Linked DNA regions of Xenopus tropicalis. The protein of the gene in region 1 interacts with the protein of each later gene in a pairwise test. Links are inferred from orthologs where the notes say so. Each region holds a gene or a part of one and is shown in the gene's direction. Other genes may lie near its edges. The genes, in order: golga2, rgs8, cdk18, msrb3, krt78.2, thap7 and ccdc150.

Region 1 (3,500 bases):
ACAACCAGTTAGATCACCAGTGAAAGTTTGACTGCAAAGGGCAAGTTTTGATGAAAAGTTATAGAATGGTTAACAACACATTTCTTAAAAACCCTGTATAAGGGAAAGTAATGCTATTTTGTGGAGGAGGCACCCCCTTTCCACATACTTTGTATTACTCTGCCACCCGGATCCAGGTGACATGCAGTCTCTTATCCATTAAGCAGGACCAGACTGCGATTTAAAATAGGCCCTGGCATTTCAACAACAGAGGCCCAAACAGCTCCCACCAGCCCAATAAATAGTGAGTGTCTATGGCATCTTACAGCATCCCCCTCTGGCGTTTGCTAGAACCCACAGATTGCCAGTGCAGGCAGCTGCACACGTGTGTACCCCAGTGTGGCTGGCTTCAGAGAGAGTTGGCACACATTGTCTACCTGCAGTTAAAGAAACTGTCATGGGAAAACATGTATTTTCTCAAAACGTATCGGTTAATAGAGCTTCTCCAGCAGAATCCTGCATTGAAATCCATTTTTTTAATGTATTATTTGTGCTCTGATAAACTTCAGTCGCGTTTTACTGCTGAGCTGCAAGTTGGAGTGATATCCCCCCCCCCCCCTCCCAGCAGCCGATCAGCATAACAATGGGAAAGTGGTGGTAGATATGAGAATAGCACTCAGTAGTGAGAAATGCAAGTCCGGCTCATGACTCCTCCAGTTACACAGGAGTAAGAGAAACTATAGCTTAACTGAACTTACATACACATATCCATGTTAAGCTGGCCATACACAGGCAGATCCGCTCGCTTGGCGATGTCGCCAAGCGAGCGGATCTTCACCCGATATCTCCACCTACGGGTGGCGATATCGGGGAGGCATGTAGGTGAATTCGATCATTTGGCCCTGGGGCCAAACGATCGAATTCTGTATGCGGCAATGGGGCAGTCGGTTCGGGGACCGCATCAACGAGCCGATGCGGTCCCAGATCAGACTGGATTTTCTAACCTGGCAGATCGATATCTGGCCAATTTCAGGCCAGATATCAGTCGGCCAGGCCCCTCGTTTCTGACCCTACACTGGCCGATAAGCTGCCGAGTCGTTCCAAGGGACCGATATCGGCAGCTTCTATCGGCCCGTGTATGGGGGGCTTAAGAATGGAGCACTCGCAGGACCCAAGAATGATTGAAAAAAATTGTCATTGAGCCAATGCCGTCCCCAGACAAAAGGGAAAATCAAATCTGTCCAATTGACACCTGCCCGAAACATTAAAGCAACTACATCTCGGTAACCATCATACTGGTGTGGGACCTGTTATCCAGAATGCTTGGGACCTGGGTTCTTTTTTTTGATAATTTGGATCTCCATTCCTTGCTTAAAATCATTTACATTTTAAATAAACCCAGTGGGATTGTTTGGCCCCCAAGAAAGGATTCATTCTATCGAGGTTGGAATTAAAAACAAGGTACTGTTTTATTATTACATAGAAAAAGAAAACATGTTTTACAATTCTGAATTATTGGATTAAAATCGAGCCTATGGAAGCTGACCTAGCTAAAATATCTACACAGTATATATTTTACCCCACAATGGTTACATAGAATCAACCCAAATATAGAGCAAACATGCCCCAAATTTTCTGCCCCAGTAGCAGACCATATTCACATGGTGTGGACTTGCCCACAGTTACAACTATTCTGGCACCAGATATCACAAACTATTCAAGCTAGGACAAACCTAGTGGTACCAGTGAACCCTTTAATCATGCTCCTAAACCGGGTGCAGGAAACTACCACTAGGAGAAGCCCAATGTACACTCCTCTCAATACTACTTATGAATGCTAAAAAGGCCATTGCACTTCATTGGAAGGCTACCACCAATCCTACAATCTGGGTAGAGATTATCAATAAAGCGATACTACTGTACAAAATAACCTGTATGAGACAAAACGGTCTAGATAAATTCTACATGGTTTGGGGAGACTGGATTGAATTTGGTGATGCTGTGCAATCCCCTCCCCTCCCTTACAACCCTATATCCAACTATATCCCAACCCTACAAACATCCATCTATCATCACTTTAATTCTTGTCTGATAGACTTGGAAGGTTCCTAGCCACAGGTATACTTAACCCCACGGACTGTTTCCCAAAAAAAAAGACACTACACAATCAAAATTATGCATTGTCCATTTTATTTCTGTTTGTGTTAATTTCTTATGTTTCTCTTTCTTTATCTGTTCATTAATAACAAAAAGAAAAAAACGCAAATGTACCACTGTAAATTTCATGTATATTTCATTAAACTGATTTAAAAAAAAAAAAAAAAAAATTGAGCCTATGGGAGATGACGGGTTTCGAGATAACAGATCCTATACCTGTACTAACTTTTATTCAGAGTGTCGCAGAAAGGTATTCTTGCCGTAGCCCTGGGAAGTTTCATGAGATAACTGTATGACCTGGTTTGCTTCCCTTTTAACCACAGCTATGCATGGTATAACTGACATTGTCACGTTTTCTCCACAGCTAAAGGAGTTTCAGCAGAAGGCGACCGTTCCGGCGCCAACAGGAGGCAAGAAAAAGAAAAAGTCCAAAGAATCTGATCCTGATAACCCAGCACGGCTCTCTCCAGACCCAGTGAGTGAAGCAAACATTCATTGATCATCCTGCCCTGTGCAGGGTAACGCTCCGCTGCATTTGTATGGCAATGCGAAATAAACGGAGGTGGCAGACTTCTTGCTTTTCATTGCGTAAAGTCTTTCTTTCTGCCTTTCCAAAATGAGCAAATGTCTTTTCTCCTTCTCTCTTCTCTGTCTCCTTTTATCTTCTACTTTTAGATACAGGCCTTTCTGAAGGGGCTGGTGTCAGATCTTCATAGATCCAATGGGGTATCAATCCCTTCACTGGCCACTATGAAGGTGAGCCGGCCTGGAAAGGCTGCTGGCTATGTGCTTTACCTTTTTGCTGGTCTTGCAAAACTCACAGCTATTTCATTTTTATCTCATTGCAGTTTTTAATTTATGTTGCCTGGTGGAATTAGTTTTTTCCCGTGCAATGTAAATGTGTAATGGATCCTTACTTGCGTGTTTTGGTTTATTACAAGGTGGACTTTCCCTTAAAAGTGGTGGTTACCTTTAGGTTAACTTTTTATATATTATAGAATGACCTATTCTTAGCAAGTTTGCAGTTGGTCTTCATTTTTACTTTTAATATAGTTTTTGAATTATTTGCTTTCTCTTCTGACTCTTTCCAGTTTTTTAAAGGAGAAGGAAAGGCTAAGTCACTTGGGGGTGCCAAAATGTTAAGCACCCCCAAGTGACTTAGATCGCTTACCTTGTACCCTGGGCTGGTGCCCCTGTTAGGAGAAAAAAGCACCAGCCCAGGGTACCTGTAGCAAGCGCTTCCTCCTTCCTCTCTCTTCTCCCGGCGAAATCCGTCGGCCGGCGCATGCGCAGTAGAGTAAAAAGCCGACTTTGTTTTTTAAATTCGGCTTTTCACTCTACTGCGCATGCGTGCGCGGCGCTAC
Region 2 (3,987 bases), on another chromosome or scaffold:
ACTTATTAAATTAGCCTAAGTGTATGTAAAAACAATAGGGCACTCACATTGTAAATTCCATTGAGGCAGAGACTTATGTGAACAATAAACAATCTCTGTAAAGTGATGCAAAATAAAAAATAGATACAGTAATAGCAAAGGAAGTCTAAGTGCTAAACATGAACTGTCATTCAGCAGACTAGGCACCCAGTGATTCAGTTATATCAGTTCTGCATTTCCAAATGAGGAAATGAAAAGTGGATGGATGTTTGGAATGAATATGAAGAAATCAATGGTCAGGGCAGTTCTTGGAGTCTTGTGTAGATTCTTATACATTTAAAACCCTTGGTCTGACAAATACTTGCTCAAAGAAGCAGTCAATAAGAGCTCTGCATTCTAATGCATTAGGAGATTCCTTGACTGGAAAAGCACAGTCAAAAGATGAATGTTGAGAGGCCTGGAAATCCAGTGGCCCAGATGTGCCAAAAGTAATTTAGGAGATTAAAGAGAATATTAGATGGGAAAACTACCCTCCAAGCAACAAAGCCCTGTTCTGTGCTTCATCTTTCCCTGAAGAAGAAAGAGGAATATGATAGCTGACTAGCTGAACCAGGCTCTGTGATCCAGGCGGGGTCCATATACATTGTTAACCATTGATAGAAATGCAAGTTTTAAAAAAATTGTTTTTACTTAATGTAAAGCAAAAGATTTGTAAATTCAAGTAGAACCAACAACCTAGTAACAAGACTCTATGCAAATCTTCCAATGGCAAGTCCCTCCTGTTAGCCAGTGAATTTCTGTAGGCAAATAAATGCCATGGCATCTAAAAGTTAAGGTGGCCGACTGCTGACCGCTCAATGGCCAAACTATTTGAAGCTTAGGGGAGGCATTTAAAGGAATGTGGGTGCCAACATCATATTACAGGGATAGCCCTGAAGGTGCTAGGCACTAAATTGAAAATTAAAAGTAATCCCATTAGTATTTTAACAAATTATCAGATGACTATCCTTTAAAATGAAAAATCTTCAAATGTAACAGATGTGAGCTAATACATGCTAATGCCAAGGGAGATCTGTCATTTCTATGTTTGTTCTGCTTCAGAGCCTGTGCTCGTATCACTTTAATGTCTCTGCCTTATGAACTGATTCCTTCTGACTGCTATTCCCACAGCTCTTCCCTTTCTCTCTTCTCTCTCTCTGCGTTTCCCTCATTCTCCAGGGTTTCTCCATGTAGAAAAGCTGCAGATTTCTCTCCTTGTTACACTGTTATCTCTTGATGGCAGAACAGCAATGGATTATAACTGATCTTTAAAGCTAATGCTAAACCTGTAGTCCATTACTCACTGCAGAGGCTCCTCAATGCCTCTATAAATAGGTGCAAGAGGCGGAGAGGTTATGATGCCTGAAACAGACATCATGTGACAATGAGTGTTTTGGTACCCGTGCAGCAAGGATAGTGCTATGCATCAGGCAATTGCAAGGGATGGCAGGGTTTATGACAGTGTATCCAAATAGCATTCCACACATCACTTGCATGGACTGAAGGTCTGTCTGGGGGGATTAGCAGGGCTGAGAGTGAGCTGTCACACAAACCAGGGCAGAAGGCTTGGGGGGATTAATTGTTAGGCAGGGGGTCTAGCCTTTCTGAACAATATGCATCAAAGCACCAAACTCCGCTCTCTCAGCCTCAGCTGTCCAACACGTTCAGCCAGCGAAATGGATGCAGCATTGGGGGGTCATGGAACAGGAAAACCGGCAAGACCATGTGGGTCTAATCTGGGGTAAGGATGCCAACCTTCATATCACCCCTTAAATTCCTTTGTTCTTCTTCCCAAAACCTTAAAAACCGTCACCATGTTGTCACTAGTCCATTTAATCTGCATATTCTCCTTTTACAGTCTGTGCAGAATTCCCTATGTTGTAGCCAGTTTTAAATCATTCCAGCCTTGGAAGATCAAATGTCTAAGATCAATGCAAATGATAGTGTATGCAGCTAACATTAATCACCCATCAGTTGCAGTTAACGACATGGTGTGTATCTTAATAATGATTGTAATGCTTTCTGTATTATTGCCATTTTCATTTTCCTTCATAGAAAAAAAACATTCCTATTCTTCCGTTAGGATATTTTAATTCACACTTGCATTCTGCTCACATTTGTGCTGGATAAAACATTCCTTCACCTGAGCGATGACATCAGGGCTGTTGCACACTGCATGTGTATTTATAGGCACAGGACTCAACACCCACATCTTCAGTCTATTCCATCCTTGCTTGTTTGGTTCATTAAATGAAATCTAAGAACTAGAAAAAAAAATCCCATTGCTGTTGGGGCTGATATACTAAATGAACATTGTTGGAGTGGGGCTTTTTGGGCACTGATCATTTATAGTGATTGATGGAATACATATGAATTCCTTATACAGCAGTAACATGAAAAATAAGAGGGCAAAGGGTTGCCGAGATGTTCAGAGCTGCAGGGTCTGCTCTATCAATTTCCTATTTTTCTGCACTAAAAACATATCATTGGAATCAACTGGTTATTGGAGGAATGCAGTTCTGTCTTGTTGTGTATTAGTATAGGTTTAAATATATATATATATATATATATATATATATATATATATATATATATATATATATATATATATATATATATATATGTTTATTGCTGATAACATTGACAAACAATATGCTGATGAGATGATCATTTTAGAAAATCTTTCAGAAAATATCTTCTTAATCAAGTAATAGCGTCAGTTAGATGAGATCTAATACAGTGAGACAGTGGGGGTCATTTGCACCTGGGCTGTTACCCATGGTAACCATTTAGATATTTGATTTAATTGTTCTCCTTGCAGGTGGCTCAAAAAAAAATCACTGGTTGGTTGTTATGAGTTACTGCCCAGGTGCAAATTTGCCCCATATTTATAAATGTGTGACAGATTGTCAGTTACAACTTACTTGTTGGGCTGGGTGTCTCGCAATATAATTGTGAGCAAAATGTGAGAGGCTGAAAGAATGAAACATATTCTGTTATTTGTTAGAACAGAATTCTGCAAAACCTTGCTTTAAGCTGCCTAGATCCAACCAAAATACTCATGTAGACATGAAACCATTTCATAACAGGGGTTTTAATTGCAGCATAAAAGATTTTTTATCATTGTAGTTGCTTTCAGTCAGAGCTCAAGGAGAAACATAGCTTCAAATACCACTATCAAGAATAAGTCGACATAAGCCTATGCATACTAAATAGTAGATCAGACTTGAATTTCAAGACAATTCTTCTAAAATATATTCTAAAATATATTGTATTCATAATCTGCTGCCATAGGAGCACCCATAGAAAAGTGATATATTATGCAGTCCCATATGAGGGACCTAATGGGCCTAATGCACCTCTGGCATACCACCATGTTTGCATCATCAGGAATGGGGCCTCAACTAGCTCCCACTGTTTTTAGACCACAATAAGCTTTGCACATATAGTGCATATATTAATGCAGGTTAATACTTGTTATACCTAGGACCAATTTTCCTGCCCAAAAGTGGGTTAAAGGAGAACTATACCCTAAAAATGAATATTGGTAGACATGCCATATTTTAGATGATTAGAATGAACTTATTGAACCAGCCTAAAAGTTCAACATCTCTATAGTAGTAATAATCCAGTCTTTTACAGTTGTCACTGGGGGTGACCATACTGGACATATACTGGACACTTCTGTTAGAAGTGTCTGCAACACTCACACGCTCAGTGTGCTCTGAGCAGCTGTTGAAAAGCTAGGCTTAGGGGTCGACGGAAATTATCAAGCAAAGAAAATGATGTTTGCCTGTCATATAAGCTGATCCTAACGGGCTGATGATTAAAGTCTGATGCTAATAGCACTGGTTTCAGAGCTGCCATGCAGTAATCATCTGTGTTAATAACTAAGCAGCCTTATATTGTGACATTTATATCATATATATGCAGTATATTGTCGGTCCCTAAACTCATTAACTGACAGCA
Region 3 (3,989 bases), on another chromosome or scaffold:
TCTGTACCAGCCCAAGGCAACCATCGCTCTTCAACAGGGAAGATCTCTGCCTCTAAACATGCCCCCAGTAGCTCCCCATTATCTTTTCTGCTAATTTACTGCACATGCTCTGTGGCGCTATTAGTTACCTGTTCACAATATACTGAAGATAAAGAATATAAAAGTCACAATATAAGGATGATTAATAAATACTACAGATTATTACTGCATGGCAGCTCTGAAACCATGCACAAGTTTAGAAACTTACACGTATTTTTAGGAACCAAATTCATAAGCCCTGAGGCTTAAATTGCCATCCCCTAAGGGAAGAAAGGTAAACAACATGGTCAGAAAATTGATTGGGAGGGGTTTAAAATTTTCTTCTTTAAAGGATTACATTTGTCCGTTAATAGGATGGACAGGTTACAATCTCTTAACAATTTGGAAACTGTACGTATGGGGCAGTGCTTCGATGACAGGTGTCAGAGGTTGCATGTACTGTACCATTATGTGGTACAAATGTTCATTTAAAAAGAATTATAGCAGTAAATAATTATATATATTCTCTTCTAGTTTGGGCTACTATATTTTAAATGTTCTTTTTTGATGTCAACATACAATAAGGAACAAATCTTTTAAAAATTTGCCTGTGCATGGTGACCTTTACACATATACTGTATTTTTGAACTTGTTTATCTGAAGCCCAAGTCTGGATTTGGTCTTTAAAATAAGAGGCACATTTCTCATATAAAGTATATACAGAGAGATAGACATTTATTGAAATAAAGCAGAAGTAGTTACACCTAGCAAGGAGGCACTGAGTTCATTAACACGCCCACTGCCAAAAATGGAAGCAATAAACAGCAACTACTGTGCAAAGTTTAAAAAATATATGTATTAGTCACTCTTTGGCTCTGTAGGAATTCTGGGAGTTGGAGTTCTACAGTAGCTGAAGGGATTAAAGACGGGCAGCTCTAATTTATATTCTTTCTAGACCCCTGTTAAAAACAAGGTGATAGTAAACAATGAGCGATATTCTGTAAATGCAAAGATCTTACTAACTGCAGGTTTATTCTAGGAAATTGTATTTTTTTTTTTTTTGCTTCAACAGATTTCCTTTAATGAACCTGCAGCCACTTCCTGTTCTTTAGTGTCAGCTATATAGAATCTGAAGCAGAAGGAATGTAGACCTTTTGCAAAAGTGAGAACAGGACACATGTATATCAACAGTAGGATGGGAGGGGTTTATGTCCTGAAGAGCTTGCAATCTGCCAATGACACGTTGCCTTCATTTGCAGAGAAGGGACAATCTGAGATCCTCCTATCATATCTACAAGACATTGATAAGAGATGCAGCAGATGCAACCCTCCCACACTTACCCTCACTCTGATTTCTACGGAGCCAGCCTGTACTTCTTTCTGCATTTTGCACAGCTAGCTCTCAGCCTGGCCAAATCCTTTTTACCTAATGCACAGATATCATAACAATCTCTGTCTTACTAATGAGAGCCTCACTTGCTAAAGCCTGATACACAGACAGTGTTTATGATGCCTCTCTGATTCAATGCACAGCTTCTTCATTTCATTCCACATCCAGGCACATACAGGTTGCCTTTGTTTTTCCCAGAGCCTTCCCACATTTACACTCCACCGTTCTCTTTAACCTTCAGGTCAGCACCATCACCATGAACAAGGTGAAGAATTTTAAGCGTCGATTCTCCCTCTCTGTCCCTCGGCCAGAAACTATTGAGGAATATAATCAGCTGAATAGCCGGTGCGGTGAAGGTAAGTGCTAAAGGCTGAGTGTGTTAAGGTTGGTTACTAGAAAACCACATATGAGTCTTTGCTATTATGTCACTTTTCAAGCGATCATGAATACATGAATTTTAATGTATAATTTACAATAACATTGCATATTCCTCTTATTTTAATTTTGTTGAGTTTTTAATATATTTATTATTGTAGAAACATATCAGCCTGCATGTGAAGGGAAAATCAAGATAGCAGTGGTGTTGGTAGTATACTGTAGGCATATATAATTACCAGTTAAGTGCATTTATGCACATCTACATGGTATGCACACTGAGGTTTTGATTTGTGTCCAGGACAATTTTTAAGATTTCCAAAGAATGGAAACAAACTACCGTATATACTCGAGTATAAGCCAATCCGAATATAAGCCGAGGTACCTAATTTTACCTAAGAAAACTGGAAAAACTTATTGACTCGAGTATAAGCCTAGGGTGGGAAATGCAGCAGCTATCGCTAAGTTTCAATAATTAAAATAAATACCAATAAAATGACATTTATTGAGGCATAAGGGATGTTGAGATTTCTATCCCCACTGGAGAATAACATCTGTATGATGGCGACAGGCATAGTGATCACACTGCATAAGTACATTAATACACCAACGGGAAATAATACTTTTAGTATCTTCAGCCAAGCAACAGTGCAGTTGCGGGTTAAGACTTACTTTCCAGACTGAACTATACAGCTGCCTTCCCTTCCCTTCCCTACTTTCTCTCTTTCCACCATTATAACACACAAAAGCCCCCCTTAACATAAAAGAAATTCTATTCTTTCTTTTGGTCACATTGTGTTTGGTCTACATTCCACCCCACCCCTTCTGCACAGGCCAATTAATGCATAAGGTCCCTGCCCAAATAACCCTGCCTGCAGACACATGCCTATTGAGGCCTCACAAACACACAAGTGAAGACATTTACCAAGCTGGGAAGGACAACTGCCGATCCTTCAGTTACATCAATCATCAAGAGAATCGGCAAGGGGGCGCGTGGTGTCACTTCCATCCCAGGAGCACAGAAGACCGAACTATTAGGTAGTCTGGGGGGCCTGGCAGTGCGGTTGAAGCTGGCGGGAGCAGGAATTGTAACCCCAATCGCTGGAAGGGGTTGTGCAGGAGAATCGGCAAGGTGGCGCGTGACGTCCCTTCCGCCCACTTCCCTCCCAGGAGCACAGAAGACCGAACTATTAGGTAGTCTGGGGGGCCTGGCAGTGCGGGTGAAGCTGGCGCTGGAAGGGGTTGTGCAGGTCAGGCTTTCTTTTAAAAACGGCGTGTATTTCTCCCAACTCGAGTATAAGCCAAGGTTTAATTTTTCAGCACATTTTTGGTGTTGAAAAACTCGGCTTATACTCGAGTATATACGGTATATTACATTTTTATCATGCTTCTAAGTGTACACAGCATTTCCATCCAGAGGTCCTCTCCCTATAGAGCCTACCTTTTAAGTTTGTTGCCTGAGGCATAGAGGGATTTGCTGACATTCCCATGGAGCTAAAAGAGGTGTTAGTAATCTAACTTGACCTGGAGTGCTGAGACCTACACACTCAGTCACTCCTTCTCCCTTATTTTATTATATGGCTATTTGAAAAGTGTAATCCACTAACACAAGCGCAAATAGTTACATAGTTAGTTACATAGGGTTGAAAAAAGACCAGAGTCCATCAAGTTCAACCCTTCCAAGTAAACCCAGCACACACAACCTATACTTACCAATCTATACTATCACATACATAAACTTTATATGCAACCAATAATACTAACCGTAGATATTAGTATCACCATAGCCTTGGATACTATGCTTGTTCAAGAACTCATCCAGTTTATGCTCATTTTTTGCCATATAGGAAAATAGAAAAAATACAGAGTGTCAGCTCTTTCTTTTCAGGTTGGATTAGTGGGTCAAAAGTAGAGATACTTTTTGTGTTGACAGACAGCAAAACTAAAACATATTGTCACTGTCACAACTCATTCCTAGTTGCAGATGTTTCTCCTGTTTGATCTAATTTGCCAACCTTATTAAAAAGGATGACACAAAAACAAACAAAAGTAACACAGTAAAAATGACAATGTCCAGGGACACAGCCAAATTAAGAAATCAGAACATCAGTGACAAATTTGCAGACATCAGCCTTCAGTTTCATTGGGTTGATGTACCTCTGGGCTGGTTCAGTAAGCTCTATTCATAAGGTGAATCACTTAAAGG
Region 4 (3,078 bases), on another chromosome or scaffold:
TTCTGACAATCTTTATTTAATGTGTGGTTTTGGGGATTTTTTTCACTTATAAACTAAAAAATATTCTTATGAAAACAAAAAATTTTAGATTAGATTTTTTCATTTTGGTTCTGCATTTTAATTTGTTTGTACTTTTTATATTCTAATCTTTTACTAAATGGTTTTTGTGGAAATGAGTTTATTTGTAGTTTCAAAAACTCTACCACTAAAATCAGAATGTTGATAAATGTGCCTTTTAGAGGTCCAGTTATCAAAATTCTCATTTTCTGGTTTTAGAGGTTTTTCCATGAATCTTCGTGGAGTGTTAAATGAAAAAAAGACCATGAAAACTTCTGCAAGGACAAATTAAAGAAAGATTGTTACTATTTGCCTCGGACAACTCCCGTTCCCATCCTTCTACATGACCTCAACAGCTTTTAGATGGCAAAGTTTTGTATTAATGTTTTTCATGGTTTTGATACTTAAATCATGAAACACTGGGTTTTTTTTACACCAAAAATTGAAGTTATGGGATTTTGATGATTAATGGAAAAAAGAAATATGAACATTAGTAAATGCCCCCCATAGTGTTTCACACACCAACAGACATATGCATCCTTGAGGATTTCCCTTAGTAAAGGGTTCTTCCCACTCTTTTGGTGCAGGTGCATTTATTATAGTTTTAGTTCCTTCCTCCTCTTTAAAAGTGTTCGGCTTGTTCCTGTAAAGACATTTCTACACCGATGAGAGAAGAATATTCCAAGATTACAAATCTTCTAATTAATAGGGTTTAAGTAATCATTTGATGCTTCACTGAGCATGAAAAATAGTGAAAACCATATGCCATGGTCATACAAGTGAGATTTCAGTCCAGGTACAACAATTATAGGAATTTTTTTTAGTTACCTGAAACAGAGTTTCACCTTTGATTATGGATTATTTTTCTTGACTTAATTATGTATCATCAATTTAGAAATATTCCAAGAAAAAAAAAGATGCAAAGCGTATCAGCTTTTTGCACCTTGCCCCTATGATGTTAACTGTTTGCCTCTATAGGCTAAAATCGTTGTGGTCACAAAATGGGCCAAAGAGAGGGCAAAGGGTTGTGCTGGTTCCTCTATGTGAGTCTTATAATCACAAACTATGGTTCTTTTAGGGATGCAAGGCACTGGGGTGCCAACAATTTGGGCCATGACTGTAACATTTTTAGGTCAAAACCTGTCCGTGCCCATGGCATAATTCCATAAGCCCACATAAGAAACTGCTTATTTGCTAGTTATAAAGTTAGAAATATGATAAAGTTATTTAGTAAAAATATGGTAATGTTACAACAAACTCATCTTCAAGGATGATGAAAAGAATGGTTGCCCATTTGGTATGTTTCTGTATTGGAAGTGGCAAAACGCTAACGCTTAGGTGTGTCAAAGTATACATTTATTCTGCTACTGTAATAAAAACAAGCATTACTATTTACCAGTTGAGTATTTCACAGCAGCCATGTTTTTTTTTCATCAACGTAACATCCTTTTTTTTGTATTCTGTTGCAGTGTGGAGCACACCTTGGCCACATATTTGATGATGGACCTCGTCCTACTGGTAAAAGATACTGTATAAACTCTGCATCATTAAACTTTGTTCCAGAGGTGCCTGATGCCGCCATAGACAGCACATCGGCTTCATCTGAAAAGAATGAACTGTAAACATGACAACAGAATTAGCAAATTATTCTTATAGCCTGTGTCTATGGGAACCAACCTTCCCTCGGACTGCCTGCACCATTGCTGAATTTTGCATTTACTACATAACTAACATTCACCATTTTGCCTGATGTATTTAAAAATATTGCCTTTATTCTGTTAGCTATATGTCCCGACTTGGTTACTAATGTTAAACTTTTTTGAATAGTTGAAGCCACACAGAGTAGGTGAATTGAATAATTCAGGTAGACTTTTGTAGACTCTTTTTCCATGTAGCAAATATTACTGCAAAATAAGACGAGTTGACTGAATTGAACAGAACAAAGGTGAGGCCAGAGGAGTTGCGTTAGGAACACATGCAGTGATTTGTACCTGTTGTCACTTGTTGCCAAGAGTTTTAGTATCTTGTAGACTGATAAAATTAAAGGGGCAGTATCCCCTTTGTTCAACAAAAGCTCAATGAATAGGGCTTGGGTTGAACATACTTTTTGCCTGTTGTTTTAATAATGAAAAATCTGTGGTTTTCATTATTTCTTTAGCTAAACAGGTCAAACAAGGTGACTGAAGCTACTTCATGCTTGCTGCTTGTGAGGTAGATAATAGATTACCAGTATACAACCCCCTCCCTTCTACCTCTTTTGTGAAGTTTCTTATAGTCCATTATGCAGGGGGTTATCTGTGCATCTAACAATCTAGCTTGCAAGGACCAAACATAGAGTTGCTTTAGTCTCTCTGCTTGGCCTGTTTAGCTGAAGAAATCATACATAGTTTTTTCAAGATTAAACAGTAGACAAAAATGATGTTTGGAACCATTCCTTTCCATTAAACTCATGTTACAAAGAAGGCATACCAGTTGTCCAAGCTGGTTCTTAATTTAGATGTGGTTTTGCCACATTCTATACTGAAAATGTATCTTTTTTTCTGGTTGCTGTTCACTACTAGCATCGGTAACTTTGCTAAAGCATAGATCCTGATGGTGAGATTATTAGAATAATTAGTATTTTGTTTTACTCTCCATTCATTTTCATATTCCATTCTATCATCCCTACCACATTCTAGTTGCCACCAATTATAAAAGAAAGACCAAATGCATATTGTTTTACAATACCAGGATCTCCATGGTTGTTTCTCGAGCTCAACTTTGGGGCTTGCTTGCTGCTGCTTCTTCAACTTAGCAAATGTCCTAAATAACTACATTCTTAATGTTCTCCTTCTGACTATGTAAATGTGATTAGCATTTGCAAACACTTATAACCCTAACTGTAACTGTAGACTTGGTAGTGATTTTTAAATGTATAACACCTCAGTATGGGATAATGGTTCCTATGCACTCCTATTTTTAAGGTTCAAACAGCAACCAAAGTGTGCTAGCTGAAGTGGGTGAACATTAACGATAACTAGA
Region 5 (4,201 bases), on another chromosome or scaffold:
AAACAGAATAAAAGAAAGAGTTTTGCAAGGGTTAGTTTCCTCGTATTATCATCATTTATTTATATAGTGCCAGCAAATTACTCAGTGCTTTACATTTATTTACAGGGATTAATTAAATAACACACAAGGGTTAGAATAGGTTCAGATGTCCTTACTTGCAAGAGCTTACAATCTAAAGATTAGAAGAAAGTTATAGACTTGAAAAAGATTTTTGCAAAGTGCTGTGCCAAAATGTTAGTGCTAAAAAAGAATGATAATAAAAAATAAATGTAAATCTGTTATGCCAGTGACTTATACAGCACAGACAGCTACCAAAATATACATTTCACAATTCTCAATATGTTGTTCAGAACCTTGTCGTTCCAGTGGCACATCACAGAGCCTCACCCATAGCATCTGCTTGTGCAACCAAGTAATGCAATGTCAGGTCATATGTTCATCTCTTGATGGGTCTTAGATGATGGCAATAATTGTTGCAGTCAAGCCAGCACTACAGGGATTAAGTTAAAAGAAATTTTACCATCATTGGTTTAAACATACGCAACTAAAAACACATGACACATTTAGAACTCCAATATGTCCAATATCCTTTGTAGTCCTTATAGCTTTTGTAACTGTCCTGCTTTGAGCTCTTCGCTGCATCAACTGAGTTTCTGCACTTGTCTGTGGGTCTTATCTGAGTTACTACTCCCTATTTCCAATGGACGACAGTACTACATTCTCAAGCTCATCTGGATACCTACTGTAGGTCCTGGTGAATAGTAGCTTGCTATTTCAGCTGTGGTTGACTTCTCCTTCTGCACTTCATCCTACTGAAGGAGTCTTGCTCCCTGCTCCTGGTTGGAATCTTCTTCTACTCTTCAATTTTCTGGCTTTACCAAGTACCTTACCATGCAGCAAATCAAAGTGACTGAAAGCTGGGTGCACTGTAGATGAATAAAAGCTAGACTGAACAGCAGCCATTTAGTCTATTAATCCATTCTAATAAGCTGATAGGCAAAAGTGTGACTCACGGCAATTTATTTTTCAGTCAGCTTTTTAAATTCATTTATATTAATATGCTGGCACATAATTTTGTGGATAACACAAAGAGACAGGTAAAATATGCATGCTTTGTATTAAAAAAAAAGTAGCCTGAGGATCTTTTTGGAATATCTCTAGCAATATGCATCCTTAATTTAGCAGATGAAAGGATTTCATAACACCAAAGCCTTCAAGTGAGGTAATTTTTAATACCTTTTTTTTTACATAAAGAGGTGTGTCCCAATTTATCAATCCACTAAATATGTGCTGCCAGGCATGCCAAAGTTGCCAAGCCCATGATTACAGTAAATTGATCTTCTGATTCCCAAGGCAGCCAAACCCACTTTTAAAAATTATATAAAAGGTGGAGAAAACGCTTTCTCATCAGAGGGGCTTAGATTCCCTTCATTCTGACTTCTTCTTCTGTATCTTAGGCTATTACTTTCTTACTTATAGCTGTTTCTTTACCTCTGTCAAAATGAATAGGGGTCAGCAGTCATTTGCTAGTAGGTCTGTAGCGGGCACAAAGAGCTTTAGCTCTTCTTCGCTTGGTGGTGGAGGCCTTGGAGCTAGAGGTGGTGGAGGTAGAATTAGCTTTAGTTCAGCTTCTGTGTCTAAAGGAATGGGTGGCGGTCGTGCTAGTGGTGGTGGGGGAGGATTCATACAAAGTGGAGGTGCCAGTTTCAGTTCTCAAAGCCTCCATAACCTCCATCCTCTTGGAGGAACAAGAAAAACTGCCATTAGTTCAGGCAGTGTTCGTGGAGCAGGTGGTATAGGATTTGGTGGGGCAGGAGGTGGAGGATTTGGTGGGGCAGGAGGTGGAGGATTTGGTGGGGCAGGAGGTGGAGGATTTGGTGGTGGAGGATTTGGAGGTGGAGGATTTGGAGGTGGAGGATTTGGAGGTGGAGGATTTGGTGATGGTGGATTTGGCGGTGGCCTAGGAGGAATAGATGGAGGTTTTGGAGGCATGAATTTTCCTGTATGCCCTCCTGGTGGAATTCAGGAAGTGACCATTAACCAGAGTCTTCTGGCACCGTTAAATCTGGAAATTGATCCAGCAATTCAAAAAGTGAGGACAGAGGAAAGGGAGCAGATTAAGACCCTCAACAACAAATTTGCCTCCTTCATTGACAAGGTGAAGAACATTTTAATTTCTTTATATAAAAAAAACCCTGTACAAAATTTGCAGATGCATCGCTGACAGTAACATTATTCATGCATTTTGGTTTGCTTTGTTGTTATAGACGAGATTTTTGGAGCAGCAAAATCAAGTATTGAAGACAAAATGGGAACTCTTGCAAGAACATGGGCAAAAAGGGGTTACAAAGAGAAGCAACATTGTACCTCTCTTTGAAGCTTACATCAGCAATCTGAGACGTTCATTGGATTCGCTGCTTAATGACAAACACCGCTTGGAATCAGACCTGAGAAGCACTCAAGATTTGGTAGAGGATTACAAAAACAAGTAAGTTGGCATGGCTGTTAAGCTATTAGGCTAGATACAGATATGAGGTATGGGTAATTATAAATACAGTATAGTATGGCATCTGTTATCCAGAATGCTTGGGACCTGAAGTTTTTTTTTTCTGTAATTTGGATCTTGAAACCTTTTGACTCCTTAAAAACACTAAAACAAAGGCAATAGGATTGTTTTGACACCAATATGGATTCAGTTGGATTGTTCAGTTGCCATCAATACAAGGTACTGTTTTATTATTACAGAGAAAAGGAAGTATTTTTGAAAAATTGTAATAATTTGATTAAATTGGACTCATTTGGAGCTTTCTGGATAAATCCCTAAGGGATCCCATACCTGTATTTATTTACAGGTATAAGCATGCTAATTACTACAACTAAATTAGCTGTTTGCATTAATGTTATCCCATCGTTTTGATGCTGTGCACCAGCTATTTACTATTTTCCATGCTTGGGGGAGGGATTATTAAAAAAAACAGTGATGTCATACAAAGAGGTCCATGTAGACTGTACTTGTCCTGGGTGCCAACAAAAATCTCTTAGACGTCCATACCCTTATGTGTCTAGTTGGCCAGCCATGGTTTTGATCATAACAACCATTGTGTAACACTGCTTAGTAAATTACTAATGGGAGCTAATGGGATGTTCCCTCTTCCAAATCTACAAAAGTCCTTTAGACTGGCTATTGTGTATATGCTACTTTTTGTGCAATTTTGGAGTGCTTAGTACCACAGAGCTGTGAAGTTCAGAAATGATTGCAAAATACATTCTTCCTTGCTTGTGACAGTTCTTTAAATGCATTGGCTGTCGTGCTAGGGGGTTACTTATTTACAAAATCACAATATGTTACTTTTTAGATCTCAGCACTTTATTTTTCCTGATGTGTTTAATTGTAGCTGAAAGCTAGAGAAATAACTAGTCCACCCAGTGTCTATACAAACGTAAAGTACTGAGAACATACATAGATCAAGTGATTAGGATCAAAGGGGTATTAATGTTTTAAAAATGAATATGTGCTCTTCTAGGGTTGAATAAAATAATGGCAACGAGTTATACATTGCTCTATAGGTCAAGTCACTGTGTGGGTTAAATGTGTGGTCTAATTTGTTTCATCTCTGTAGATATGAGGATGAAATCAACAAGCGCACAACTGCCGAAAATGAATTTGTAGTGCTCAAAAAGGTAGGTAGTGAATGCATTGCACCAGTGAAGAGAAGCTTGGGTGTAATCACAGAAGATAGTAAAGAATGGCTGTGTAAACACAGGATGAACCTCTACTGATGGCCAGCACTGTTGCAGGAGGAAACAGTTAGATCTACTTAATTTGGCCCAGCATGTGGATGGTTAAAGTGGGCAAAGATTGGTAACTTGCCAAACTAACAGGTCTTTATGTGTATATCCAGCTTTACAGTCAGGATGGTTTTGCCTTGCTGAGACAACCAGAAGGCATTGTGTCATTGCTGGCTGAGAAGAAGCAGAATAGCAAAGCTTATAAATGACACAAAATAAAAAATAAAAGATTTAGACTAATTGAAAAGTTTCTTTATAATACATCTGCCTTAAACTTACTAACAGTTACTATCACTTTTAGAACATAACTTTTACTTACAAGACTAATTTGTTAAAACTACATTCTCTTAAGGCCTTGTAACTGTTTTGAACATAATGCAGTCTATAACCTTTGTGATTAAACCTACTCAGC
Region 6 (4,176 bases), on another chromosome or scaffold:
TGCCAAAATGGGCATGGGCGACAAAAAAATCTCACGACAAACACGTTTTGCAAATTTAGCTGTGGCTTCACAAATTTTCCAGCGAAGCAAAACAGGACAAATTCGCTCATTGCTAGCTAACAGACTCCTGCCTCACTAATATGGCAGCCCCCTCAGAGGAACATGGGGGATCAGATAGGTAGAGCATCAAGCCAATACTTTTATAGCAAAATTATAAATAGCATTCAAAGACAATTTTATGATAGACATAAAAAAAGCTTAATTTCTGGTGTCAGTATGTCTTTAAAACTGCCCATGAAGTATGTCATGGACAACTTGAAACCGTACTAGCCACTAGGGGTTAACCTGCTGCACTCCGCAGGTTAACCCCTGCTGTGCTGGCTCAGCCATAACATAAGCAACTTTTCACTTGGTCTTCTGTTGGTCTGTGATGCTACAATCTTATTATTACTTTTTATAACCTTTTTTTTTCTATTTAATCCCTCTCCTACTCATATATCAGGCTCTCATTTAAACCACTCCCTGATTGCTAAGGTAATTTGGACCCTAGCAACCAGATAGCTGTTATAACTCCAAACCCGAGAGTTGCTGAAAAATCATTGAAATTATTAAAAAAACTACAAACAAAAAAATGAAGACCAACTGCAAATTGTCTCAGAATATTACTCTCTACATCATACTAGGGGGCCGATTCATTAAAACACAAGTTCAAATCCCGAATGGGAAAAATTCGGATTGGATACGATAATTTCTGAAGATTGCAAATATCACGAAAATGCTTGCGAAAAAATCGTATTAGTCACGATAATATCGTATTGGTGATCCGAAAGTCACGAAATTTTCTTACCGAACGATTGTAAACAGCGGCAGAACCTTTCCGAATTTTTCGCGCAAGTGTACAAAAAAGTCACGTAAGCGCGAAAAAATCGGCGAAAATGCGCTCGGAGCGATCGTTCGTGTCTTTTTAAATCTCCCCCTAAGAGTTAATTCAAGGTGAAAAAACTCATTTAGAAAATTTGTTGTAGGTCAAATATTGGAAGCAGAGGTTATAGTGGCAGCAAGTACTCTTAGTTTACAAGAAAACATTATTGCTCCATAGCACAAATGGGAGTTCTAAGAAGGGGGGGGGAAGGCATACTTTTTTTCAACAACTTGGTAATGCTGGCAGCTATTGACACAAGCAAGAACAGTGAGCACAGAACAAAATAAATGGTGGGAAACCATGTGTTACTATCAGCGTGTTTCAGTGTAATAACTATATGCACTGCTGCTCAAACAACGTTCTACTCGCTACTCCACCTAGTGGCAGCAGCCCTACCTTGCGTTTATATAGTGTCTGGCCGTGACGTCACAGTCTCATCTCGCGAGAGCGTGACGGAAGTCTCGGAAAGTAGGCCGACAGGAGCCCAGGAGCTAGGCATCGAAACGGCGATGCGGGATATTTAAACGGCGATGGGGGACATTTAAGAAGCGATCCGGGACTGCGGGCTGTGTTATGAAAGTCGGGGCTGTCTCGCCAAAAGCGGGACAGTTGGGAGGTAGATGCAGTTTAGTTAGAGGTTGAGTCTTACACCTTATATTCTTTGCTGTCTCTACCCTTTATATAACGTTAGAAACTCCAAGGTAAATGTGATTTGAGTTGGATGAAGTGATGTGGGCAGAAGTCATGTGAGATAATCCCTTGCTAAAAAGTCTGCTGTTTCATGTGCAAAGATAAATCCGCTCTCCCTAAAAAGCAACTTTGTAGCATTGTATCGAATTCCAAGCAAATCGCAGCTGGTATATGTCTTATTAGAATTATTAGCCTAGCAACCAGGGAGTAGTTTGTAAAGCAGAATGGGATATAAGCAGTGGATGACCCGAAAACAAAAAAACATATGAAAATGCAAGGGAAGCATTACAGTCACCCTGTTGTTTTGGTTGCTCCCACCCTACCAGCTGTTTGTGCCAATGCCACCCTGTGCCAGCAGCTTGACCCATTCTTGTTGGAAGGGGGGAGCAGGCAGGCCCGGACTGGCAATCTGTGGGTTCTGGCAAATGCCAGAGAGGCTGCTGTAAGATGCCATAGACACTCACTATTTATTGGGCTGGTGGTGGAGGGGTCATTTTGGGCCTCTGTGTACAGGTATGGGATCCCTTATCTGCAAACCCCTTATCCAGAAAGTTCTGAATTATGGAATGGCCATCTCCCATAGACTCCATTATAAGCCTATAATTCTAATTTTTAAAAAAGATTTCCTTGTTCTCTGTAATAATAAAACAGTAGCTTGTACTTGATCCCAACTAAGACATAATTACTCCTTATTGGGGGCAGAACAATATTTAAAAGATTTTTAACAGACTTAAGTTATGGAGAATTACGGAAAGATCCCTTATCCAGAAAACCCCAGGTCTCGAGCATTCTGGAAAACAGGTCCCATACCTGTACTTGATGTGCCCGAGCCTATTCTGAGTTTCACTACGGAGCTAGGTGCAGCTTCATATTTCCGGTGGCATTTCATTTGTTGCATTCATGAAAATGCATTTTCACATTAAAAGTAATGTTTAGTAAGTTCAGGATGATGAAAATATAAGGTGGCTGTCCAGCTGAAGGCTGCATACTGTACGGGGCACTCCCAGGAAAGGGCTGGATTGATTTATCATTTTGCTGTGTTCTTGTTCCACTACATCCATGTCCTAACTTATTTCTATAAAATCAGCATCAGGAGTCTTAGGGCTCTGGAACACGGGGAGATTAGTCGCCCGCGGCAAAACTCCCTGTTCGCGGGCGACTAATCTCCCCGTGTGCCAGAGCCCTTACAGTAAACATGGATGGGTAACAGCATAAACAGCAGGGTTAGAGGGCCCTGCTAACGAGAGCTGTTATGAGAGAATTTGCAGTTGGACTGCCTTACTTAACATTCATTATTTCTTATTGATTTAATATTTTGCTATACAGCTCACCAGTATTTAAACTATTATCTGTTCACACTGACTGAGTGACTAAAAGATGAATTCACTTTTTGGTTTGACATTTTCTGCTGGACTAGAAACACAAAAAGTGGAATAAGAAAATAAATTGAAATTGTGTAATGAGACCTTTTGCATTATCTCATAATAGCACTCCTGTGTATTAGTCATTGAGGTTTGTTATTTCTTTACTATAATTGTAATTACATAGCACTGACACATTCCTGCAGTGTGTTATAGAGATTATACATCAATCACTTCAGACCCTGCCCCAGTGAAATGTATAATCCAAGGTCCCTATCACATTTGTGCACACAAGGGTCCATTTAATCAAGAACCATGTATGTTTTTGGAATGCTGGGAGGAAACCCACACTAACACAGGAAGAATATAGAGTCTTTGCAGATAGTGCCCTGGCTTGGATCCAGCTTAGTACTGCAAGGCAGAATTCATATCCATGCTGTCCTGTTTGCTGAACTACTCTGATGTTTTTTAAAGGAGAAGGAAAGTTATTTTGGCATTTTACTGCCAATAGATTTGCCACAAAAGTGCCACCTAGAATGCTATATTTATTCTGTAGACAGCTTTATCATACCTGAGTAAAGAACCCTAGAAGCTTAAGGGTGGGGGGAGTGAGTTTTTTGAATTCTTAAGGGAGAGAGGAGAGAGCTGCACAGACTCTGGCCCCAGGAATGAAGGATTTTTCTTAAAGAAGGGAGTCAAATACCCTGAGAACATGTTTACAAAAAAGGAGACAACAAATCCTGTGTTTCTTTTAATAGATGACTCAGTGCAGCGTTTCTGTGAGTGCTTATGGCTGTATTTACTTTACCTTTCTGCTAATGCTTACCTTTCCTTCTCCTTTAATAGTCGCTTCTTGAGTGGAATTTTCAACTGCAAGCAAAATCTAACTATGGTGATTTTGTTTAGATTTATTTGCCTTATTTTTTGTTTTAGATAAGATTCTTATTTGAAAACTACGAAATGGTGCGATCATGTTCTGCTGCTGACTGCGTCAACCGTCAGACGGCACTAAGCAAGCGCAAGGGTATAACTTTCCATCGGTATGTATGTAACAACCTCACTGCCCTCACCGTGAGAAACCACCTACGCTGCTTCAAATGGAAGCTCCGTTCCTCTAATCTAAAGGGGTGGCCTCTGGTGCGCTGATTGTTTTTATGGGAAAAAAGAACATCCCCCATCTGCCTATAATCCCCTCTAATGTAC
Region 7 (4,035 bases), on another chromosome or scaffold:
TAGTCTAATACCGATGAGAGAATATCTGAAAATATAATTATAATGAGCATATTGCTTTGAACAAAGCTGACAGGAAGGACTTAAACTGCACATGCTTTTATGGAACAATACGTGAGGGAAGCTAAAAGGAAATTGAATCTGAATGAAATCCAATCTGAATACAAGCAAAAAAGAAGCAAAGGATTGCAGCAGTCACAGTGGGACGCACGACAGGGAAAGGACCGGCTGTTTACTGATAGAATTGTTACAGAACATAGAGAAGATCAAGGAGTCTGATAACAGGTGCATGTCTACTCTCTCAACTAAACTGTAAGTTCACAGTTCTAGTACATAATTACATTATACTATATTAAACTATATTCATCAGAAGCATAAAGAGTATCTGTCTCTCTAAAAATATTTGTCTGTTGCAGTTCTGGTCCATAATTATATTTTTTTGGATCTGTTGCTGCTGCTCTATCTAGAATCTGAGATTTATGTTTGTGTGTACCCTGCACTAGTAAAAATAATGCACCTGCGTGTTTGCTTTGGATGCACTACTGTAGACTGTCCTCAGGAGCTCTAAAGTCTTTTTCTTCCCTAAGGGGTCCTACCTCAATCACTCTTTGCCTTAATTAAAATGTACCTTTCATAATTATACACATCAATTAGGATACATACTGTGCAGGCATTAAATACATGCTGGTTTATTGTACAACAACGGAAGTGTTGGTTTCAGCTGTGGGAGAGGTCAGCGCTGTGGGAGGGGTCAGCAGTAGTGATGTGCGGGTTGAAAAAAATTTGACCCACACCTGATCCTAATCTGCTCTCTAGCTACCTGCACCTTACCTGGGCTGCCTGCTATAGACTTCGGCATCCCAGGTTTACTAGCAGTGACAGGTGACATTCCCTTCAATGGCAGGCATTTCAAAAAAGTTTTTGAATCCCTGTTGGTGTAATTTCTGGTGTTCGGCGAGAGAGTGGTGCATATGCCCAATTCTCTAGACACGAGTGTGCTTTTGCTGTTGACGCAGGGCACTGAGAAAACCCTTGAGCTACATCCAGGTCCCAATGTGGCAGTAGCTTCAGGGTTCCCCTGTGCAGCAGCACTTGATTCAGAAAAGGAAGCAGGAGGAAGTTAGCGGCTGTTAGTGGAGTGAAACTATAGGCAGTGCAAGGAGCATATAATGTTTTATTTTATATGCAACTAATGTGGAGGAATTTGCCTTTGTTTTTTCCCCTTGCCCAAGTAGGAGTTTTGAGCAGACAAAAAAAAAAACTGAAAGCGCATGCCTGTGGACTATCATGCCCTGAAAACTGAGACTGTCCCACAAAAAGCAGGACAGTTGGTAAGTATGTCATAGAAGCAGAATTATGATGCCTATGACTGATGATAAGCCCCCTCAGAGAGTCCCAGTAGAGACTCCTGTGTGGTAGTGCAAATTGCTAAATTTGTAGGGTTGACATAAAGGCCAACAAAAATAGTAAACTATTGACACTATCCTCCACTATCCTGCATTATTAGTGTCTTTCGTTTACTATTTTTGTCCATCTAATGGTTAAAACAGGGATTGTTTTCAGGCCCATTGTACATTGCTCTTTTGTGTACTCTTGTGTTTTTTTCTTGACAGATGATGGATCGAACAGTGATCTCTCCTCTCAATATCCACCCCACAGCCCCTGAGACATTCTCTGTACTGCAGCAGAGAATGTGTGTGGCAGAAGAGCAGACAGAAGCATTAATTAGTGACTTGAGAGCACTTGGTGTTAGCAGTGAGAGGTCAGTGTCTGTCCTATAACAAGACCATAAAGTCAAACTCACTATATACTATATAGTTAATGTGTGGTTTTATCAGTACACTCTAAGTTCATTTGTAATTGTATAGGAAGGCTGATATATATAAAATACCCTTTATAAAGTTACTTAGAATTGGTTGATTTGTAACATACTAAAAAATTATTTAAAGAAGAATCTCACCTTTAAAGCTTTCTCACATTGGAGCTCATTTAACAAGAGTGGGCAAATTTGCCCATGGGCAGTAACCCATAGCAACCCATCAGTGATTACCTTTTTTCAGCCAGCTGCAGGTAGAACAATGAATGTAATAATTTGGTTGCCATGGATTACTGCCCATGGGCAAATTTGCCCACTGTTGATAAATTACCCCCATTGTCTTTTAAGGGCATGCTAACACGATATTCCTACCTGTCCTTATTCCTTTTAAAGGAACAGTAACACCAAAAAATGAAAGTGTATAAAAATAATTAATATATTATATACTATTGCTCTGCACTGGTAAAAGTTGTGTGTTTTCTTCATAAACACTACTACAGTTTATATAAATACCCTGCTGTGTAGCCATGGGGCAGCCATTTAAATTGAAAAAAGGAGAAAAGGCACAGGTTACTAAGCAGATAACAGATAAGTAGCATAGATTCCCATTGTATTGTACACAGTTTATCTGGTATCTTCTTATGTAACCTGTGCCTTTTCTCCTTTTTTCAATTTAAATGGCTGCCCCCATGGCTACACAGCAGCTATTTCTATTAACTACAGTAGTCTTTCTGAAGCAAACACGCAACTTTTACCAGTGCAGGGCAACAGTACATTATATTTTAATTATTTTAAAACATTTTTATTTTTTAGTGTTACTGTTCCTTTAAGTTACTAGCTCATTGAGAGAATTTCAGGCCCGCACATCACTAGTTTGTGCACAGTTTTTTGGCGTACTGCACAGTGCCAACACAGCCCTATTAGCAGCTTGGGTTACTATGCTGTTCTGTATGTTCTCAAAGAACAGAAGGTAGAGAATGAATGTAACTAGAATGATTTTCTAATAACATCCTAGGATACATAGGCAGCAGTTAAAATACATATTATGACACAGAAAAAGCAAGCTCAAAATAGCACAGTTCTTCCTTTTCACTTCAGCACTGCAGTGTATATTATTTGTTGCAGATTTGAGAGTAAAGACTTTGCAAATCAAAAGCCTGCTCACATCATGCGGCCAGTCAGTCCTCTAAAGGCAAGGTTAGCATTTACAGGGGACAATGATACATTGTGGAAGAACTGCGAGAATCTGGTAAATCGCATGTGCCATATTGAAAGCGTAATGCAGACACTAAAGCTCAGTGTCTTTCGAATGCAGACTGAGCTGAAACTGAATCCAAAGCACACAGGTAAGTAGTTATTTGTTTCCAATAACCACAAAAAGGTCAATGACAATTTTACAAATGCTTTGGGTTGAAAAACCCAACATACTGTTCTTCCACTTCAGTTTATTCTTCCGCTTTTTCTTCTTCTTCTTAACGCCCCCATTTTCTAAACACTACTCCTCCTACAGTTTTAGGGGTACAACACCCAAACTCTCCACACTTCTTTGTCCTCTAGGGGAGCAGGTTGCTTATGCTTTTCTAAGAGATCCCGGCCCCCGAATTTTTGTGAACACCCCAATTTTCCCCTTGACTTTGACAGGAAAGATTTTCAAACTGCTGCCACCCTTACAGCTTTGAAGCGACACCCCCCAAACTTGAATAACATAATCATGGGGTCACCCCAAACGAAACAGCGACATTTGTTGGATGACCCAAAGTGGGAGGGGCCAACAACAGCCAATCAAATTTCACCCATTGACTTTAATGGGGAAATTTAAACTGCTGCCACTCACACTTACAGCTTTGAGGCTGCACCTCCCAAACTTGAATCACATAGTCATGGGGTCAGCCTGAATGAAAATATGATGATTGTTGGATGCCCAAAAGAGGGCGGAGCTGGGATAAGCCAATCAGATTTTACCTATTGACTTGGCGGAAATTCAACCTGCTGCCATTCTCACAGTAATAACACCAGGGTCCCCAAACTTTGCAGAGTTAGGCACCAGGTAACTGCGGTTCAAGGTTAGAAAAAGTGGGCAGACCACCAACAGCCAATCAGATTTTACCTATTGACTTTCAATTGGGAAATTCAACCTGCTGCCATTCTCACAGTATTAACAACAGGGTTCCCAAACTTTTCACAGTTGGTCACTAGGGGACTGTAGTCCCACAATTTTTATG

What was found.
Region 2: the proteins of golga2 (region 1) and rgs8 interact in binary tests that used the Homo sapiens proteins (3 or more experiments, as listed by UniProt). The two-hybrid records come from large-scale screens. The link is inferred for Xenopus tropicalis from reciprocal best matches to the Homo sapiens genes GOLGA2 and RGS8.
Region 3: the proteins of golga2 (region 1) and cdk18 interact in binary tests that used the Homo sapiens proteins (3 or more experiments, as listed by UniProt). The two-hybrid records come from large-scale screens. The link is inferred for Xenopus tropicalis from reciprocal best matches to the Homo sapiens genes GOLGA2 and CDK18.
Region 4: the proteins of golga2 (region 1) and msrb3 interact in binary tests that used the Homo sapiens proteins (3 or more experiments, as listed by UniProt). The two-hybrid records come from large-scale screens. The link is inferred for Xenopus tropicalis from reciprocal best matches to the Homo sapiens genes GOLGA2 and MSRB3.
Region 5: the proteins of golga2 (region 1) and krt78.2 interact in binary tests that used the Homo sapiens proteins (3 or more experiments, as listed by UniProt). The two-hybrid records come from large-scale screens. The link is inferred for Xenopus tropicalis from reciprocal best matches to the Homo sapiens genes GOLGA2 and KRT1.
Region 6: the proteins of golga2 (region 1) and thap7 interact in binary tests that used the Homo sapiens proteins (3 or more experiments, as listed by UniProt). The two-hybrid records come from large-scale screens. The link is inferred for Xenopus tropicalis from reciprocal best matches to the Homo sapiens genes GOLGA2 and THAP7.
Region 7: the proteins of golga2 (region 1) and ccdc150 interact in binary tests that used the Homo sapiens proteins (3 or more experiments, as listed by UniProt). The two-hybrid records come from large-scale screens. The link is inferred for Xenopus tropicalis from reciprocal best matches to the Homo sapiens genes GOLGA2 and CCDC150.

Annotation. Positions count from the first base shown.
Region 1 is NC_030684.2:22,941,211-22,944,710, reverse strand, and holds part of golga2 (golgin subfamily A member 2), read left to right. Parts: intron 1-2,500; coding exon 2,501-2,611; intron 2,612-2,811; coding exon 2,812-2,892; intron 2,893-3,500. UniProt on the Homo sapiens protein: Peripheral membrane component of the cis-Golgi stack that acts as a membrane skeleton that maintains the structure of the Golgi apparatus, and as a vesicle thether that facilitates vesicle fusion to the Golgi membrane.
Region 2 is NC_030680.2:100,224,642-100,228,628, forward strand, and holds the start of rgs8 (regulator of G-protein signaling 8), read left to right. Parts: upstream 1-1,187; 5' UTR 1,188-1,631; coding exon 1,632-1,759; intron 1,760-3,987. UniProt on the Homo sapiens protein: Regulates G protein-coupled receptor signaling cascades, including signaling via muscarinic acetylcholine receptor CHRM2 and dopamine receptor DRD2.
Region 3 is NC_030678.2:73,186,443-73,190,431, forward strand, and holds the start of cdk18 (cyclin-dependent kinase 18), read left to right. Parts: upstream 1-1,189; 5' UTR 1,190-1,664; coding exon 1,665-1,764; intron 1,765-3,989. UniProt on the Homo sapiens protein: May play a role in signal transduction cascades in terminally differentiated cells.
Region 4 is NC_030679.2:57,611,790-57,614,867, reverse strand, and holds part of msrb3 (methionine-R-sulfoxide reductase B3), read left to right. Parts: intron 1-1,526; coding exon 1,527-1,679; 3' UTR 1,680-3,078. UniProt on the Homo sapiens protein: Catalyzes the reduction of free and protein-bound methionine sulfoxide to methionine. Isoform 2 is essential for hearing.
Region 5 is NC_030678.2:148,011,085-148,015,285, forward strand, and holds the start of krt78.2 (keratin, type II cytoskeletal), read left to right. Parts: upstream 1-1,401; 5' UTR 1,402-1,501; coding exon 1,502-2,158; intron 2,159-2,267; coding exon 2,268-2,488; intron 2,489-3,620; coding exon 3,621-3,681; intron 3,682-4,201. UniProt on the Homo sapiens protein: May regulate the activity of kinases such as PKC and SRC via binding to integrin beta-1 (ITB1) and the receptor of activated protein C kinase 1 (RACK1). In complex with C1QBP is a high affinity receptor for kininogen-1/HMWK.
Region 6 is NC_030683.2:102,966,062-102,970,237, forward strand, and holds the start of thap7 (THAP domain-containing protein 7), read left to right. Parts: upstream 1-1,376; 5' UTR 1,377-1,538; intron 1,539-1,598; exon of another isoform or gene 1,599-1,623; intron 1,624-3,906; 5' UTR 3,907-3,933; coding exon 3,934-4,013; intron 4,014-4,176. UniProt on the Homo sapiens protein: Chromatin-associated, histone tail-binding protein that represses transcription via recruitment of HDAC3 and nuclear hormone receptor corepressors.
Region 7 is NC_030681.2:100,035,247-100,039,281, reverse strand, and holds the start of ccdc150 (coiled-coil domain-containing protein 150), read left to right. Parts: upstream 1-1,235; 5' UTR 1,236-1,268; coding exon 1,269-1,328; intron 1,329-1,610; coding exon 1,611-1,759; intron 1,760-2,938; coding exon 2,939-3,159; intron 3,160-4,035.